2 linked regions of the Danio rerio genome follow. The protein of the gene in region 1 interacts with the protein of each later gene in a pairwise test. Links are inferred from orthologs where the notes say so. Each region holds a gene or a part of one and is shown in the gene's direction. Other genes may lie near its edges. The genes, in order: mab21l3 and aggf1.

What was found.
Region 2: the proteins of mab21l3 (region 1) and aggf1 interact in binary tests that used the Homo sapiens proteins (3 or more experiments, as listed by UniProt). The two-hybrid records come from large-scale screens. The link is inferred for Danio rerio from reciprocal best matches to the Homo sapiens genes MAB21L3 and AGGF1.

What each region holds. Positions count from the first base shown.
Region 1 is NC_133184.1:37,578,020-37,582,482, forward strand, and holds the start of mab21l3 (protein mab-21-like 3), read left to right. Parts: upstream 1-1,548; 5' UTR 1,549-1,685; coding exon 1,686-1,733; intron 1,734-2,560; coding exon 2,561-2,701; intron 2,702-2,803; coding exon 2,804-2,875; intron 2,876-3,376; coding exon 3,377-3,668; intron 3,669-4,463.
Region 2 is NC_133196.1:9,136,937-9,141,514, reverse strand, and holds the start of aggf1 (angiogenic factor with G patch and FHA domains 1), read left to right. Parts: upstream 1-1,762; 5' UTR 1,763-1,837; intron 1,838-1,923; 5' UTR 1,924-1,927; coding exon 1,928-1,980; intron 1,981-4,578. UniProt on the Homo sapiens protein: Promotes angiogenesis and the proliferation of endothelial cells. Able to bind to endothelial cells and promote cell proliferation, suggesting that it may act in an autocrine fashion.

The sequences.
Region 1 (4,463 bases):
ATGATTATCAATATCTTGCTATAACATCTATAGGTTAGATCTATCTATCTATCTATCTATCTATCTATCTATCTATCTATCTATCTATCTATCTATCTATCTGTCTGTCTGTCTGTCTGTCTGTCTGTCTGTCTGTCTGTCTGTCTGTCTGTCTGTCTGTCTGTCTGTCTGTCTGTCTGTCTGTCTGTCTGTCTGTCTGTCTGAACAGCCGTAATTTTGACTAGGCTAGATTTCATATAAAATATGTATTGATTGGTTTGTTAAATGACTGTGTGTTTTGTTGCCTTGTTGCCTGATCTTGTTACACACGCTGCAATCTTTAAGGAATAGCTCAGCCAAAAGTTACAATTTTGTCATCATTTACTCATATTTACTAGTTCCAAACCAAAGGTTTCTTTCTTCTGTTAAACACAAAATAAGATATTCTGTTACTTCATTAGTTATTTTTGTTTTCCTACTATAGGAGTCAACGTGTGCCAGCAACCAACATTCTTCAAAATATCTTCTTGGTCAACAGAAAATAATCTCATAAAACCACAGGGGAGGGAGAGTAAAGGGTGAGGTAATTTTCATTTTTGGGTGAACTACCCCTTTAATGTCTCACAGTAAATTCCATAATAATATATTTTTTATTATTTTGTTATACAACCTTCAAACTCTATTAAGTGTTTATAATTCTCTGCCTACAATAAAACATTACCGTATTTTCCATTATTGACAAAACATTTCCTTTATTTAATAATTAGTTCATTCATTCAATCAGACATTTCTTTATTGATTATGACTATACTGTGCTGTAAGTTCCACTTCCAATACCTATATAACATTTAGTTTGTTTATTTATTTAGACATTTGTTCACTTTATCTTCACCACAGACAGTCAATGTATGTTAAAGGCTGTAGTGCAAGTGATTGTGACAGGGTTTTTTTCATATCATCATCACCTGATCTGTACTGAATTGAACCATGTAAGGTCATCCAATTCATCCACAATTGGTATAGTGGTCAATGAGTTTTTGACTTAGGCTACAGAGGGCTCCAAACTGAAAAATTAAGCCGGCAAGTTATTGTATATTATTTTTAAGCATTTGATTATTTCTTAATATTTGATTTGTCCCACAGTTGCTCTCATTGTTGATATATATTGTTTACAATACATGCATATTTTTGTTCATGTTATTTTAGTATGTGAAGTATGAGAATCCAGAGGCTTGGTGTAGTTTTACATTATATAGCCTTTATAATGGCCTCTTTTTAATGCTTTTTTTTTTTTGTTAAATTTAGCATACTTTAATTCAATAAATTCCAACTCACGTAAGTTGATAAACAACATTAACAACAACAATTGTGATCCAGTTGCGTGTTTATAATCAGCATATGGCGCAGTCTGCTGGATTAAAACCAAATGTTTATATTCAAATGAGTGTGATCGGTCATGTGAGTAAGCAATTGGTGAACTAATTTGCCCAGAGGAACATACAAGCTTTTTAGCATCTCGGGAATCAATATTGTGAAATCAATGGCTCTGCTGAAGTGCTTTTCCCTTGTGCGATTTGTGTTGCACGTACACAGGGACACAAAAGAATTGCAAAAAAGGCCACAAAGACACAACATTAAGCTCTGCTGCTGAAAAGAAGACTTAAAATAGCATCTGAAAAGAGCTTATTGTAAGCGTAGACTACAACATGACCAACTGCACAGATGAAGATCTGGATAACTATTTGCTAAATCAGGTGACCTACTTATGCTGTCATTGGTTTTATTGAGCACCGAGATCTAAACTAAACTGTTAATGTGTTATTAGTTTTTATTATAACCATTTCATTTGGTGTTTTAATTAAACAATAATAATTTTAGATGGCTTATTTTTAGAGTTTTTAAAAATTATTTTATTCAGTGTTTGTTCTGCTCTAATCGAATGTGTTATTGTCTTGTTTTTAGCTTAAATGTTTTATATGCGAATATGCTGTACTACTCACAATCTTTACATCTTACCATAGTCTTCATAATTGACATGTTTGTTAGTTTTTTTTGTTGTTGTTATTTACTTAAATATCTATTTGTTGTTAGACTATCCAGTTTTTCTTAACACAGGCTGCATAGCATTTATTTATTTGTTTATTTTTTATTTATTATTTATTAATTTAATTAATTTATTTTATTTATTTATTCAATTATTTATTTGTAGTCAGATGAAAATATGTTTAATTCTTTATTCTTTTTATTCCTCATTTCTTGTTTTATTTTATTTTTGTATGGTAATAAAATATTTTTATTTTATTTTATTTGTAGTTGCATAACTTGTTTTATTTTATTTTATTTTGTTTATTATGCTGTCTTAGTGGTGTAATGTTTTTATTTCTTGTTTATTTTCTTTATTTTTTATTTAAAATTTGTGTTAATAAAATAAAAATAATAAACAAATAGCTAGAGGATTTCTTTTTATTTAGTTTCATTTTATTTGAGTTTAGTGTAGTATTTCAGATAGATTCAATAAAAATAAAAAAAACATTCCTTTTTTGGTTTATTCTGCTGTTTCTGATGTTAAATGTATCGTCAGGTGGATCTCAGACATCGGCAGGTTTCAAAGTGTGTCGAAGATGTGCAGAAAATCATCAAAGATCTTACTACGGAGGTCAGCTCAAAAGACGCTCGCTTCCAGTCCATCGCAAATGCTGGAGTTCATAACGCCAGCCTCAAAGTAATGCTTCACATAGGCCTCATCTATATAAAAAATACTAACTGCATTATAATGCTGGATTTATAACATCATGTTTTTTCTTGTGTCCACAATCTAATTCAGGACCAGCCTGCTTTAATGTCAAAATGGTCTGCATTACTCAGAGGGAGATGTGCATACAACCCTGCCATACAAGTAAGCAGTAGTATTTATTAAAAAGGTATAGATCAACCCCAACATTTAAATTCTATAATTAAAATTACTAGGTAAGTCAATGGGGAGCTGAACCAATTTTGGCACCATTATCATTGGACATTCTTTAAAATATCTTCTTTAATGTACCGCAGAAGAATGAAGGACATACAGGTTTGAAACAAGTAAATGGTGTCAAAATTGTACTTTTCCTATTTACTGTTGTAAACTTTAACTGGTGTTATTATGTAACATGCATGCAGCTACAAATACTTTTGCTGCGGTACTTTTGCAGCATTTACATAGGCCAGAGTGCACTGTTTGATTCAGATCTATATTCTAAAGGTTTTTACAGTGGCACCCCAGGTCTAGAAAATTATATTTTAATATTTTTGGACTAGACAAAAGACAAAAAGTCAGAGTAAGAAAAGCTTATATTATACAGTAGATAAACAGAATAGATGTACTGATTAGTTTGATGTTTTTTTTGGGTGACTTGTGCAGGTCCTCTCTCCAACCCTGTACCTGATCTCAGTGCCTCTGCAGGGCCTGATGGGCTATAAAGAGAGACGGACACGTCAGTGGCGTTATTATACACTGACTGGCTCTCGTCTCCTCTCACCTGTTCGTGAGCCGGAGAAGCTCCACCAATGGCTTGAGCTGGAGAGTTTTGTCAACCCGAGTCAGGAGTGGCACGATGCCCGCATGACCATCGAAGGTGACATTGTGCCAGCCAAGGTGGTGAACGTCTTCAAAGATCTTCTGGAGACGTCTATAAAGACCCGCGGACTGACAAGTTAGAGTTTTAATATTTGTTTAATCTGTGTGTAAATGCTGGTGAATAATGAAAAATCTCTATACACTAATGATATTCTAGTCACAAACAGAATATTAATATGCTTGATTTAATTTGATGTCTCGATATATGTTCTGTTGATAACTGGATAACAGATTTATTTATTTATTAACCTTTTATTTTTGTTTTGTTATCCTCTTATAATATCTTTTCATATTATAGATTCCATAAGTAGCACAACATTTAATCTTCTGTTTGTTTTATACACCATATACACCATATACAGTTGAAGTCAGAATTATTAGCCCCCCTGAATTATTAGCGCCCCTGTTTATTTTTTTCCCCAATTTCTGTTTAATGGAGAGAAGATTGTTTCAGCACATTTCTAAGCATAATAGTTTTAAAAACTTATTTCTAATAACTGATTTATTTTATCTTTGCCATGATGACAGTAAATAATATTTTACTAGATATTTTTTAAGACCCTTCTATACAGCTTAAAGTGACATTTAAAGGCTTAACTAGGGTAATAAGGTGAACTAGGCAGGTTAGGGGAATTAGGCAAGTTATTGTATAACGGTGGTTTGTTCTGTAGATTATCGAGAAAAAAAAATTGCTTAAAGGGGCTAATAATCTTGTCTCATAAATTGTGTTAAAAAAATTAATAACTGCTTTTATTCTAGCCGAAATAAAACAAATAAGACTTTCTCCAGAAGAAAAAATATTATCAGACATGCTGTAAAAATTTCCTTGCTCTCTTTGACATAATTTGGGCAATATTTAAAAAAGAAAAAA
Region 2 (4,578 bases), on another chromosome or scaffold:
GTTTTGATAATAATGAAGGTTGTTTATTGGCGTTGATGGATCCCTGAAGATCATTTCAGATCCAAAAGATACTTCACATTCCACAAAAGCTTCTTCTTTAGATTGTTAAAACTGTCTCAATACTAAGAAACAAATGGTTTCAAGAACAATTCACTGTGAGGTTCTTTGAAAAAATGAATATTAAGAAAACACCTTCAGGAACTTGCTGTTTCTTGCTTTTAAATGCCTGATGCAGCAAATCATTTATTGGCATAATAATTTGTGCATCGTTAGATGAATCCATATCAAGAGAAATTAGTTTATCAACTTAAATGTATTGACATTTTTCCACCCAGCACGCTTTTTATTCTTTCTTTCTTTTTTGAAAACTTTTTATGTTTTATTAAGTTAATGAAAATAACTTTGAATAAAGGCATCTTGGGATGTAAAAGAAGGACAATTGGAAAGTGGCCTGTAAGTTTTTTAACAGATGGTGAACATTGTTATTATTATTATTATTATTATTATTATTATTATTATTATTTAAAATTATTTTAAAATTATAATCTAAATTTGCAATGCACAACTTGTTTGATGCCATTACATGTGAATTTATTTAGATGCTGTTCTCCAAAGTGACTTCCAATTGGTGGAGTCACATCAACAGAAAAGCAACAATATTTAGATGCTGAGACACGATGCAGATGTATGAGTTTGTGTGTGTGTGTGTGTGTGTGTGTGTGTGTGTGTGTGTGTGTGTGTGTGTGTGTCACAGTCCAAAGGTGCATTGGGAGGGAGAGAGTTCAGCTTCCTGACAGCTGAAAATAATATTAAAACATTTTTTTTTTTAAAGGTCTAAATTATGGGTAACATATATTAGCCATAATATTACAGCATTATTCAAATAGAATTTGGCAATAAAAGCATGACCTAAAAATGAAACTGTTAGGCAAAACTGAATAAAATGTAAACAGTATAATTCAGCAAAGTGCAATCCCATTGAAAATAATGGTCAAATTAACCTTAAATATTGCAGAATGTTGTAAAAACAGGTGGACTCTGGCTTTTCAGATGATGTTAAAGGATTTAATATAAGACAAAATAACCATCAAAATGAGAAAATTAGATAAAAACTATTTATTCCTTATTGTATTAGTATTATATATATATATATATATATATATATATATATATATATATATATATATATATATATATATATATATATATATATATATATATATGTATATATATATGTATATATATATATATATATATATATATATATATATATATATATATAACAGACTATAATCCTGCAAATGATATAATGTTATATAATGTATTATGTGTATTGTATTTAATTATTATGCAATAATTATTTTGTCAGATTTTTTGTTATTTTATTTATTTAATTATTGGCAAAAATCTACACTCTAAAACGTTATTACATTATAAAACATTATTACATTATAGACGTTATCAAATATTACATAGATGGATGGATGGATGGATGGATGGACGGACGGACGGACGGACGGATAGATAGATAGATAGATAGATAGATAGATAGATAGATAGATAGATAGATAGATAGATAGATAGATAGATAGATAGATAGATAGATAGATAGATAGATAGATAGATAGATAGATAGATAGATAGATAGATAGATAGATAGATGACAGGCATGCAGAAATTTAACAACAGTGTATTTGACTGTGTTCTACGCGAGAGGCGCTGTCTCCTCTGTGGTAAAAAGCGGAAGTGACGCAGCTTAAGCGAGATGTGACGCTACAAAGTGAAAGTATGGCGGCATCCATTGAAGCTGGACTAAAGTTCATCGCGGTTGCTCCCTGTAACGCACTTTACGGTCACACAAACTTCTACACGAATATGTGTCGAATTCCCGCTGGTCATTTGCTGTTTATCTTTGATTTGCAGATTGATGCGCGCGCAGGGAAGCCGGGAACGCGCACGGAAAACGGGTGGTTTAAACCGGTGAGGATAGTGTGCTTTAAAACTCAAAGGTTTGCTAATACATAGCATAATATAACTATTTATTAAACTATTCCTATTGTATATTATGTTTAGATGTGTTGTTTAGTTCGTTATAGCTGTTGTTTAGAGGGGTGTGCTTTGTTTTTGTTTGGTTCTGGTGGATTATTTGCATATATGCATATTTAAGGTAAACGTCAAACATTGGTTGAGCTAATTCATTTTTAGGTTTTTGGTGCTTAAATTTTGTTATGTGATTGCTAGAAAACCATTTTATAAAATATAAGTTCTGCCGTAAGTGTGAAATTAATATGTTTTGATGTCTGCATGAAATTAAATTTAAATTACAAGAATTAATAAATTACATAGAGAGCACATTAAATACAAGTGTTAACACACTTATTCTGACCTGTTAAACTCATTTTCTAAAATGTAAGCACAACTGTATGTCTCATATTGATATAAGACATCCTGTTTTTTATGGCTGCATGACATTTAATATAAAATACAAGAATTATTCATAGAATTTAATATTTCTACAGATTTTAGGGAGAATTATAATCATCATTCAGCTTAACCGTAGCTTAAAATGAAAAAAACACACTTATTCTGACCTGTTATTATTGAGACATAAAACAATAAAAGCTATCTAAATGTTGTTTGCACATTGCTGATTCTCTACAAACATACAAATAGTTTAATAAATAAGTTATGTTTATGCCGTACTTCAAGGTCCCCAAACGTCCACAATAGTTTTTAAGGCCCCAAAATGTAATTGTAATTGACTGGATAATAATTAATATATATTATAATACATATTAATTGTATTATATTTTGTATATAATTATTATTTATTCCTATATTATATAAAAAAGTAAAGAAATGCATTATATTTAACTGATATTATATACAATTATATATATATATATATATATATATATATATATAACTGAAAAAATATAATTGCAATTTTGAAATGCGTAAAACATCGTATATAAACCTAAATGTAAATTTAGACTATATAATATAACTAGACAGTAAAGTTCGTCGAGACAAACTTTGAGGCTGGCTTGACAAAGCCTGTTGGTAATAGTTTGTTTAGTTTAAAAACAGTTTGAAAAAGTATAAGTAGCATGTTATTAGCATGATTCTAGCATGCATTAGCATGTTTCTAGCATGGATTAGCATGGATTAGCATGTTATTAGCATGAGTGTAGTACAAATTAGCATTTTATTAGCATGATTCTAGTATAAATTAGCATGTTTGAAAAAGTTTTTTCAAAGTTTGAAAAAGTATAAGTAGCATGTTATTAGCATGATTCTAGCATGCATTAGCATGATTCTAGCATGGATTATTATGTTTTTAGCATGAGTGTAGTATAAATTAGCATTTTATTAGCATGATTCTAGTATAAATTAGCATGTTATTAGCATGCTTCTAGCATGAATTAGCATGTTACTAGCATGATTCTAGAATAAATTAGCATGTCACTAGCATGATTCTAGTATGAATTAGCATACTGCTAGCATGATTCTAGTATGAATTAGCAGGTTATTAGCATGATTTTAGCATGAATTAGCATGATTCTAGTATGAATTAGCATGTTACTAGAATGATTCTAGCATGAATTAGCATGTTACTCGCATGATTCTAGCATGAATTAGCATGTTATTAGCATGATTATAGTATGAATTAGCATGTTACTAGCATGATTCTAGCGTGAATTAGCATGTTATTAGCATGATTCTGACATTCATTAGCATGTTACTAGCATGATTCTAGTATGAATTAGCATGTTATTAGCATGATTCTAGTATGAATTAGCATGTTACTAGCATGATTCTAGTATGAATTAGCATGTCACATAGCATGCTTAGGTGGTTGCTAGGGTATTCTGAGTGGTTGCTAAGTCGTTGCTAGGCAGTTGCTAGGGTGTCCTGAGTGGTTGCTAGGTGGTTGCTAAGATGTTGCTAGGCGGTTGCTAGGCTGTTGCTAGGTGGTTGCTATGGTGTTCTGAGTGGTTGCTAGGTGGTTGCTAAGGCATTGCTAGGCGGTTAATAGGGTGTTCTGAGTGGTTGATAAGATGTTGCTAGGTGGTTGCTAGGGTGTTCTGAGTGGTTGCTAAGGTGTTGCTAGGCGGTTGCTAGGGTGTTCTAAGTGGTTGCTAGGTTGTTGCTAAGGTGTTGCTTGGTGGTTGCTAGGGTGTTCTGAGTGGTTGCTAGGTGGTTGCTAAGGTGTTGCTAGGTGGTTGCTAAGGAGTCCTAAGTGGTTGCTAAGCGGTTGCTAAGGTGTTGCTAGGTGGTTGCTAGGGTATTCTGAGTGGTTGCTAAGGCGTTGCTAGGCGGTTGCTATGGTGTCCTGAGTGGTTGCTAGGTGGTTGCTAAGGTGTTGCTAGGTGGTTGCTAGGGTGTCCTGAGTGGTTGCTTGGTGGTTGCTAAGGCGTTGCTAGGCGGTTGCTAGGGTGTTCTGACTGGTTGCTAGGTGGTTGCTAAGGTGTTGCTAGGCGGTTGCTAAGGTGTCCCAAGTGGTTGCTTGGTGGTTGCTAAGGTGTTGCTAGGTGGTTGCTAAGGTATTCTGAGTGGTTGCTAAGGCGTTGCTAG